2 linked regions of the Neodiprion lecontei genome follow. The protein of the gene in region 1 interacts with the protein of each later gene in a pairwise test. Links are inferred from orthologs where the notes say so. Each region holds a gene or a part of one and is shown in the gene's direction. Other genes may lie near its edges.

Evidence for each region.
Region 2: the proteins of protein neuralized (region 1) and enhancer of split malpha protein-like interact in a two-hybrid assay, tested with the Drosophila melanogaster proteins (2 studies listed by BioGRID). The link is inferred for Neodiprion lecontei from reciprocal best matches to the Drosophila melanogaster genes neur and Tom.

The regions. Positions count from the first base shown.
Region 1 is NC_060265.1:21,860,424-21,865,147, reverse strand, and holds the start of protein neuralized, read left to right. Parts: upstream 1-1,679; 5' UTR 1,680-2,374; coding exon 2,375-2,699; intron 2,700-4,724. UniProt on the Drosophila melanogaster protein: Involved in neurogenesis. Interacts with other neurogenic proteins in the specification of the neuroblast versus epidermoblast cell fate.
Region 2 is NC_060260.1:38,440,634-38,444,733, forward strand, and holds enhancer of split malpha protein-like, read left to right. Parts: upstream 1-1,994; 5' UTR 1,995-2,172; coding exon 2,173-2,682; 3' UTR 2,683-3,571; downstream 3,572-4,100.

The DNA.
Region 1 (4,724 bases):
AAGTATGCATAACCCGCATGCGAGATGAATTCTAGTCATTAAAGCCGATACGATACGCGTCGTATTTGGAAGTTTCACGTGCTCTCGTCTTATCGCTTCATCGACAATATCAAAAGCGCCCCCATAAAACACATAGGGGTACCTCACCTCGCTTTCAATTTTGTGTAACTTTCTTCAATTCGTTCACTTGAACGGCTCCGAACTACCTGATGGAGGAGGACACTGTCGTCCTTTTCAGGACAGAGATCTTGTCCCAGGGACACCCTTATATTCCTCAAAATTATACACACCTTAATTCTTCACAAAATCAAGTCTGTGAATCGAGTAGTATCTAGTCTGCTTTTCCTGCAGAGCCAGACGCCCGAGCGGATGAAATCGTCACGATCGAATCAGTCCGGTGCTGGAATCGCCGTAGCGTTACGCGATAGCTACAGTATCTCTTTCGCACGTTTGCGACAAGGCCGAGAGACCGGATCAAGTTTCCATGAGACTCGCAGGACCAGCCTCGTCCCATGACAAACCCAAACTCTGGACGCAGAAGTCGAAATAGAGCAGAGTGCGCCTTGCCAAATTAATCGAACGATTCTTGCCAAGGAATAGATTTTTCCGTTTGAAAGCTTACTCGTGATTCAAAAGTTCTTTCTTTCAAACGGGAATCAATTTTTTCATCTTCTCAGATTACGTTTTTGTACCAGTGCTATCACGTTATCTACTCGAATCCCCAATTAAATTCAAAATGCAATAAAACGACCGGTTTATTCGACCGAGAATGAATGGTGGATCGGAAAGTTTGAGTCGAAAAGGTGATACCGTAGATAGGCACTACAAATAATTCCTGTTCCGATTATCCTCGGCGCAGAATTACACTGCGGGCAGAAATAGCTTATCCTGAGCAGTGCGGAGTTGAATTCACCCGTTGACGATTGCCAGAATCAGAGATTCTTAAAACCGGTTAAAGAATTGCAATTCATGCAGATTTCGTAGCGCTGATTCTCGGAGTCGTCGCTTCCTCCTGACAACACCGAAGTTGGTACATTAACGACAACCGCAATCAATGAGCCTAAAAATCTCGATCCGTGTACACTTCGCAGTTATCGTACCTCGGGACGTTAACCCCCGACAAACCCGTAAAGGGACGCGAAGACGCTCGACTCGAGGTTCTTCGCAAAGACGTGAATGGTATCGATCTTCGTCGAGACGAAGCACGACGCGTGGCACGCGACCTGCGGCGGTCCAAAGGCTTTCTTCTTATCGTCATCCCGGGGCGCTGCGGGGCCGGAGCTTGCGTCTCGATACCTACCCATACTCGGGACAGCTTATTCGGGCGAGTGTGGGTAGGAAGAAGAAGAAGACAGGCAGGCAGGCAGGCGGGCAACCGAACCAGGGAGTCTGGGTGGCACCTAGCCGCTACGCCACCTCCGAGGGGCAGCCGGGTGCGCCCAGGTAAGGGCAGCTGTTCACCAGGTGCGGTTCACCCCTGAACACCCCTGCGACAGGGTGGGGGAAGAGCCGTTTTCCGATTGGTCGGCGGCTCGCGCGCGCCTCGGCGATACCCCGGGAGCAGCGTCGAGGATCCTTCAGTTCGCTGCGAGCGCTCGAACAGAAAGCGAGTGTTCCGAGCTCCTCGTGCACGGTATCTCGCTGGGTGCGCGCCGCGGCCTCGTCCGCATAGTTTTTTTTTTTTTTTTCTTCTTCTCAACTCCTTCCTCGTCTTCGCCGTTGAGAACGTCGCGTAGGAAATTAATTCGGTAGTACTTGTTACAGCTGAGTTTGCATGAAACGCGCGTTTCCGTCGTTGAACTAGTTAAATTCTCGTAACGTTTTCGGTAAAGGAGACTCTGTCTCGATTTCGGGGGGAAAAAAAAATAAATTACCGCGATAGGACGGAAGAGAAGAAGAAGGAATTACCCGAGAGAAAAGAAACAACTCGTCTCTTTAATCTAGTCAAGATAATACCAACTACGTTACATACGCGTAATAAAACGGATATATATAACTATATACACATATATACTTGGAATTATATATTCGTCGGTCGAACTCGGTAATACCTGTAAACACGTACACAGTGGTAAAATATAAGGAAAAAGTGTCGAAAAATCTTACCGCGTGTTACGAGAGCGGTCACGCGAACGATACAAGAACGAAACTGGTGCCAACGAGATATATCGTAACTATAAAGTGCCGGGAGAGTTTATTCGTATGTATCCTCTTGTTTGGTGAAGCTACATACACACATATGTATACATGGTCTAACCAATATATGTATGTATACATGTATTGAATCGTATATTGATATATATATATATACATATATCGCACGCTGTTTCGACGTCGTCTCTTCGAGTTCTTCAAGTTAAAGACGGCTCCATTAATGGGGGTGTCCGGTGATTGCGCGGTGCGCTCCGCGAGCAGTAGGAGTCATCCCTGTCACTGCTGCAGTCACGCGGCCAGCGCGAACGCCAGTGCTTCGTCCCAACACCACCACAATCATCACCAACACCACCACCACGGACACAACAACAACAATAATAACAACAACAATAACAATAACAACAACAACAACAACAACAACAACCACAACAGCAAAACAACCGACAACCATCATCATCAGAACGGTGCCGATACCGTTGGCGTGTTGGCGCCCTTACGCAGCAAGATGAAAGTCCTCAAGAAGCTTAAACGAAAGATGGGTCTAGGTGAGCCGTGATATCATGATATATTTGAATTTAATCTACTCGAACGTCAGACGTATTGTCTATTATTAAGGTGTATAGTGATATAAGCGTTGCTCTGCAAATGATTCGGTTGTAGACGAAGAATCGTGAAAGGTTCGCCGGTTGGTCAGAGTTCAATTGATTACGAGGCTCATTTGGGAAGGATATTACTTTCGGAACTGTTACGCGTGCTCGGGTATTATGCCCTGAATGAAAGAATAGCAGAATAACATTTTTTTACACCGACAACCGAGTCATTTTGAACAAGTGGTATCGTTCATTTAGTCGAGTTTGCCGACGACCATTGTTAGACGGTAGTCAATTATCTGAAGTGGACATCGTTAGTCCGAACGCTCCCTAAATGTGATTGAATTTCTTTCGCGTTTCTTAAAAATTTCGTTTTCCGCCGATTATAAGTTGGCCAGGACTTTACGGTGGTCTGGAAATAATTATCATCGTGATATCCGATAGTTTGACAGAGAGGCTGTGGATTGATATCAGAATTGGCATGTATTGTCAACTCCCTGCATATCGTACGTAAGAATCATCGAGGTATTATAGCGTTTATAAGCCGATGAAAAAGGCCGAGGCTTGTTGTCCGGGTGGAATAAATTCTACCGGCAGTTGCTCGTTAACGCGATGCATAAGGTACTGAAACAGCAACTGCACTCTGCACCTGCCGTATTCGCATAATAAGAATATTGCAACGTCGCGCAAAGATCTCGGTGCATTCTTCGGCACGTGTGGACCTCAAGTTGCATTCTACGTACGACGATTATACCTTACTTGATTGATCGTTTTTGACGTTGAAAATTTTCACCAACGAGTAAAAGTATCTGGGCATCGCAATGGGATTTTTTCTGGGATTCATCACAATACCGCCTTATACGTTCGCTCGAAAAAACGAGAAGCGCGAAGTGCCGATAAGAGGAGAAAGATAAGGAGGAATTGGATTGTTCCATTTTTGCGGGACTCTCTTTGATACAACGGGCAACCGATGCGAAATAGGTCGCACTGATCAACCAACACACTATGCGACTTGTACCAGCTTAGCGCACGTATGTGAGATGGTTTGAGCCAGATGCAGAGAATGAGAATGAAAATGAAACCGCGTCGGTTGGAGCGGAGTCGAGATGCCTTTTTCCGGCGAGATATGGCCGTTGAATAGAAATAGGTCGATTCGGTCCCGCGGATTGTTCGTTGCGAAGGTTGTATAATACATCCACCCGCGAACAAAGCCCACCGTCAACGTTGCTCAGGGCTGACGTTTAAAGTCTGTCTTAACTTCAAATTCGCCGTTTTCGAGCGCGACAATTAGGATCTGGTGAAACACTGAAACGTCGAGTTGCACGAGTCCGGAGTGCGAAAAGATGAAAATTGGATTAATTGAGCCGCCCCTTCGTGATCTAACATGCCGCCTAGATCGTGATCTGGCTCGTCTCAGCCGTAGTTTTTTGCTGCCTTTTCTTGCTCCCCGGTTGGCTCGGAACTAGGCAGCTACACGGAGTTCGTTTTTGCTTTACTGTGCGTTTCGAGCCGAGGAACAAAGTTCTCAAACTCAATTACGTGCACCGGCTTAGACGGAGTTACTGGATCGGTGCTATTCTTCCAGAGAAGACGTATCGAATCCGCGCTCGGGACGCGTTTGCAGATATTCGTTGAGCTGCTCGAATTAATGGGTTTTCTGCGTACCTTCAGCGAAGCACATGTGTGCTTTAATGACTCCGAATCAGTGAGGATAATCATGTACCACGGTGGGTCGATATTGCTGCGAGGATAGGCTGCTCGGAGATGCTCCAGTGATATTCAACGGACGGTTTTCAGGACTTTACGAGTTCCATTGAGAGGAAATTGTCGCGATTCCAAAACGCCTCCCGGCGAAAGCTTAACGTCGGTTCCGAGCAAGGATATCGGGGCGAATAAGTTATCTCTAATAACAGCGTTTCGGATTTGTATGCTCCTGTTTTCCGGGGCCATACATCTCGCCCGGAGGCGAAGAGTCACGAG
Region 2 (4,100 bases), on another chromosome or scaffold:
CATCGATCGATGTGTTATACTAAATACGACGACGAAGAGAATATTATTATCGTTTCTCACTATCGGTTTTAACGATCTTCGAACACATGTTAATAAATAATTCCCAACCAATGTATGACAATCGAAGAACATCCGGACGTGAAAAAATATCCCTCGTTACACCTGCTTTTTAATTTTTCAACGACGTTACGTTTCAAGGACCGAGTGTCTGGTAATTTAAAACGTTTGTCACGTTCTAATATCAAGTATAAAAATAAATAAATCGTTGAAAACCGTATCGATCGGCGGTAAAATGACAACCGCCTGAATCTCAGTGGTGAAGAAATAATCGATCCTTGAGATCGCAAGCGTTCGTAAAACCCAACCTAAAACTAACCTCGGGCAAACCTCGGAGGCTTGGACAGGTTCTTAAAAACTGTTTTTTTTTTCCCCGCAGGAGTCGGTCGGGTTGGGGACGCGGCCGTGACGTGGGATAATTTCAATAAAAAGATAATTACCGCTGAGTGAAAAAAAACTGTCGACCTTTTTTACGATCCTCGGCGTCGCGTCGCGGCAAAGAAAAGAGTATCGAAAACTAAGCGGCAGTGCATAATGTACCGAGCAATTCGCAAAAATAGTAATTTTCGAACAATAAAGTCTGCCAAATATTAAAATTTCCGTCCAAAACTTGCTCAAAGTCGTATCGGAGGCATGAATTGAGTAATTGAAGAGATCAGAGTTGGAATTGAGGAGAGCGGAACTTTTATAAAAGCGTATGAATGGTACAGTGGCCATAAATGGTGCATTCGCCTTATGTTAAACATGGAAAGTTTCGAAGATAAAAATTGTGGGCATCGGTAGATGGAGAAAGGTCGGTTTGACCCTCGGCCAAAGCGAAGGAAGAGGGCTTCTCCTTCTCCTCCTCATCCTCCTCCTCCTCCTTCTACTCTTCTTGCACAGCGAAGTGGTCCCTGACCTGCCTGAACCTTACTGGAACAGGGAGTGAAAAGAACTAAAATATCTCCGGAGGCTAATTACGAGAGGTTGGACCTAAGGCGCAAACCACCCGAGCGCATGACCGAGATTAATTATTCTCGAAGAGCTCTTCTCTGATGGTGCAGAGAGCGACAAGTCTGCTCGGGTCTGCCAAAGTGATCCGAGTACTGGCAACTTCACGGAATATGAAAGGCGGTCAAGCATGGGGCTTGAAGAAAACAACGCGGAACTGAACCGAGCGGGAATTCACTTGGGGATCAAGTCGATCACTTGGATTCATCGGTAACGTTGACATTCGAGTGATTGTACCAAGTCATTTCCATTGATCTTCACGGATTAGACAGAATCACAGGGACTCGTGACGAACCGTTGGAAATCACTCGTTACACTGGAAGAGTGAACGCAAGCACTTGACAAGGTAGAAGTCCATGTAAACTACTCAGCATCGATTAAGACCATTTATCGATCGCTGAACGACTTGCGCCGTTTGATTCCAAGCGATTGTCAGTGATTTCCACTAAGATCGAACGATTCTTCTTGGTTTCAAAGAACACGCGTAAAGTCAATTCGCAATGTAATTTCCAACGGTCGAAGGAACGTCCCCTCGAATCGTATCGAGAAAACACCCCAAAGAAAGTCCAGCCCTCGACCTGTTTCGACAGGTCTCTTTCTTCGGCCGTAGGGGGAAAGCGTGTCGAGACTCGCAGCAAGGGATCTTCCTCCACCATCTTCGTGTAAGCCATCAGCTCCCGGGTGAATTTTCTCCTGATTTAGTCGGGGGTGGGGCGAACGGGGTGGCGAGTCTCTGCCAGGGTGGACTTGAGCGAAGAACGCGGGGGGAGCCGAGGACGACGGCAGATGGTCGACGTGGACCCTGGGAAGCTCGGAACACGGAGAGTTCCCACAGCCAAGGCGCACCTGCCTCCCCCACCAGCTACCCCGTGACGTCACAGGGCTCTATATAACCGGCGGGGTGGCTGGACCAGAGCACATTCGCTGACAAGCCTCAGACGAGACGAGACTAGCTACGAAAATTCGGTATAACAAAAAAAAAAAAAAAAAACGCGCTGCGAATTAAAACGACATCGCAACTTTACGTACACAGTAGTAAACGCTCTGAAGTGTGACGGTATATAGAGACACGGTGTGCGAGAGTATACATATATATATCCAACAACAACAACGACGACAAAGAAAATGGCGGCAACAACGATCAACAGCCACGTGTTCGAGTGCGATAACGAGCTGAACGACAATCTGTACAACATCAAGTTGTCGACCAGCAATAAGCAGACCTCAAGTGCTCGACGAGTAAAGAAGATCCTGAAGCCGCTTTTGAGACTGCTCAAGAAGTCCGGAGGCGGTAAGAAGAGCGCCAAATCGCTCAAGGGACAGCAGAGGGCTCAGCCTCAGGTGGAGGTCTTCACCGAGGAGGTAGACAACCAGAACAATGCCAACGAGGCACTGGAACAGCGGCTTCTAGCCGGCCTGGAAGAAGCCGAGGAGGGAGCAGCCATCACCGTTTGCCTCGATGGTCAGATGACCGTCGTTCCCGTGGTACCCGGACAGTGTTACGTTCCCGTTCACTTCGCCCACACCCACGCCGGCGACTTCTACTGGACGACGATCTCCCTCGCCGACAGTGACCTCTGCTACAAGGAACGAGCCTTCTCCCAGAACCAGCAGCCCGAGATGCAGGTCGCCTAAGTGCGATGGGTTCCATGGGTTTAAGCTCCGGTTCAAGTTCCAGTTTCGCGGAAAGCTAAAAAAGGAGACTCATCCCGACCTCGACATTGATTAAAAACGAGGTGCAACCGGGATGCGGGAAGAAAGAAGAGAGAAGAGTAAAAACGAGAGAGAGAGAGAGAGAGAGAGAGAGAAAGAGAAAGACTTTATTTAGACGTAAGATAATTATTTCAAACTGTGATTAGTAGTTTAAACGATTATTGTTACGATTACTGTTCGTATTCGAGTTACTTGTTACTTGTATGTCTATCTGATATTTGCTCAATTGAAAGAGAGGAGAACCGTTTTGCGGGATTCGATTATTGGGCACGATCTCGTACAGCATGTTTTGCAAAACAACTGTCGAGATTTGTGATATACAAATTCCTTCAAAATTTGAATATTTTTTTTTTTTTCTTCATTTTTCATGGTACAACACACGTATACGGTTAAAGTATTCCTTTCATGCGATTAGTGCGATTATTTTTTGTATAATCTTGTTTCTGCATGACGACAATTTCATTCGCACCTGTGATATTCGTACCTAAACACTTGACTTTTAGAGTTATAATTATTTAGCTTTAAGTTTCACTATTGTTGTAATATTGTAACATGCGCGCACACACACACACACACACACACACACACACACACACACACACACACACACACACACACACACACACACACACACACACACGCACGCACGCACGCACGCACGCACGCACGCACGCACGCACGCACGCATATTGTGATATCGGCTTTAAAATCCTGTAGAAGGAATAATTCGATTGATCGACCATTCAGTCGCCACATTTTATAATTAAATCTAAATATTAAGATTATATTATATCAAATCATATCGTCTTCCAATTTTATCGTATTACAACCACAAGTGGAAAAAAAAAATAAATTATACTATTATTTTCTCAAAAAATATTATTTTTCTACTTATTTATTTACCATCCAAGTATCTTTTTTATAACATATACCCAATTTCCTTTGAAATAAATTGCCATTAGAAATTAATTATAGATTATAATTTCAAAAGTATATTTATAATAAAAGCGATAATTGAATTCAATTGACTAGTTAGTGATCTAAAAATCACTCAATCAATCATTCGTATATCACTATTTATAAAAAAAATTCCAACAGTGCAGTTCACCTGCAATTTTGAAGAAAAATTTATTCCCCCCGAGGTTTTTAAAATAGTTAAGTGACTAGCCTAGGCTGACCATATTTTACAAAGAATCTTCGGCCGTTGCGACGATTCTTTCACAATGTGGAACCGGTCGAAGAGTAGAAACGATAAAGAATAGAAGAAAACCTCGAGATCCTTTCAGCCCCTCGCTCGTATATTTGCTCAAGGTTTTTAGGTCCGAAGGGTCTTGAAAAAT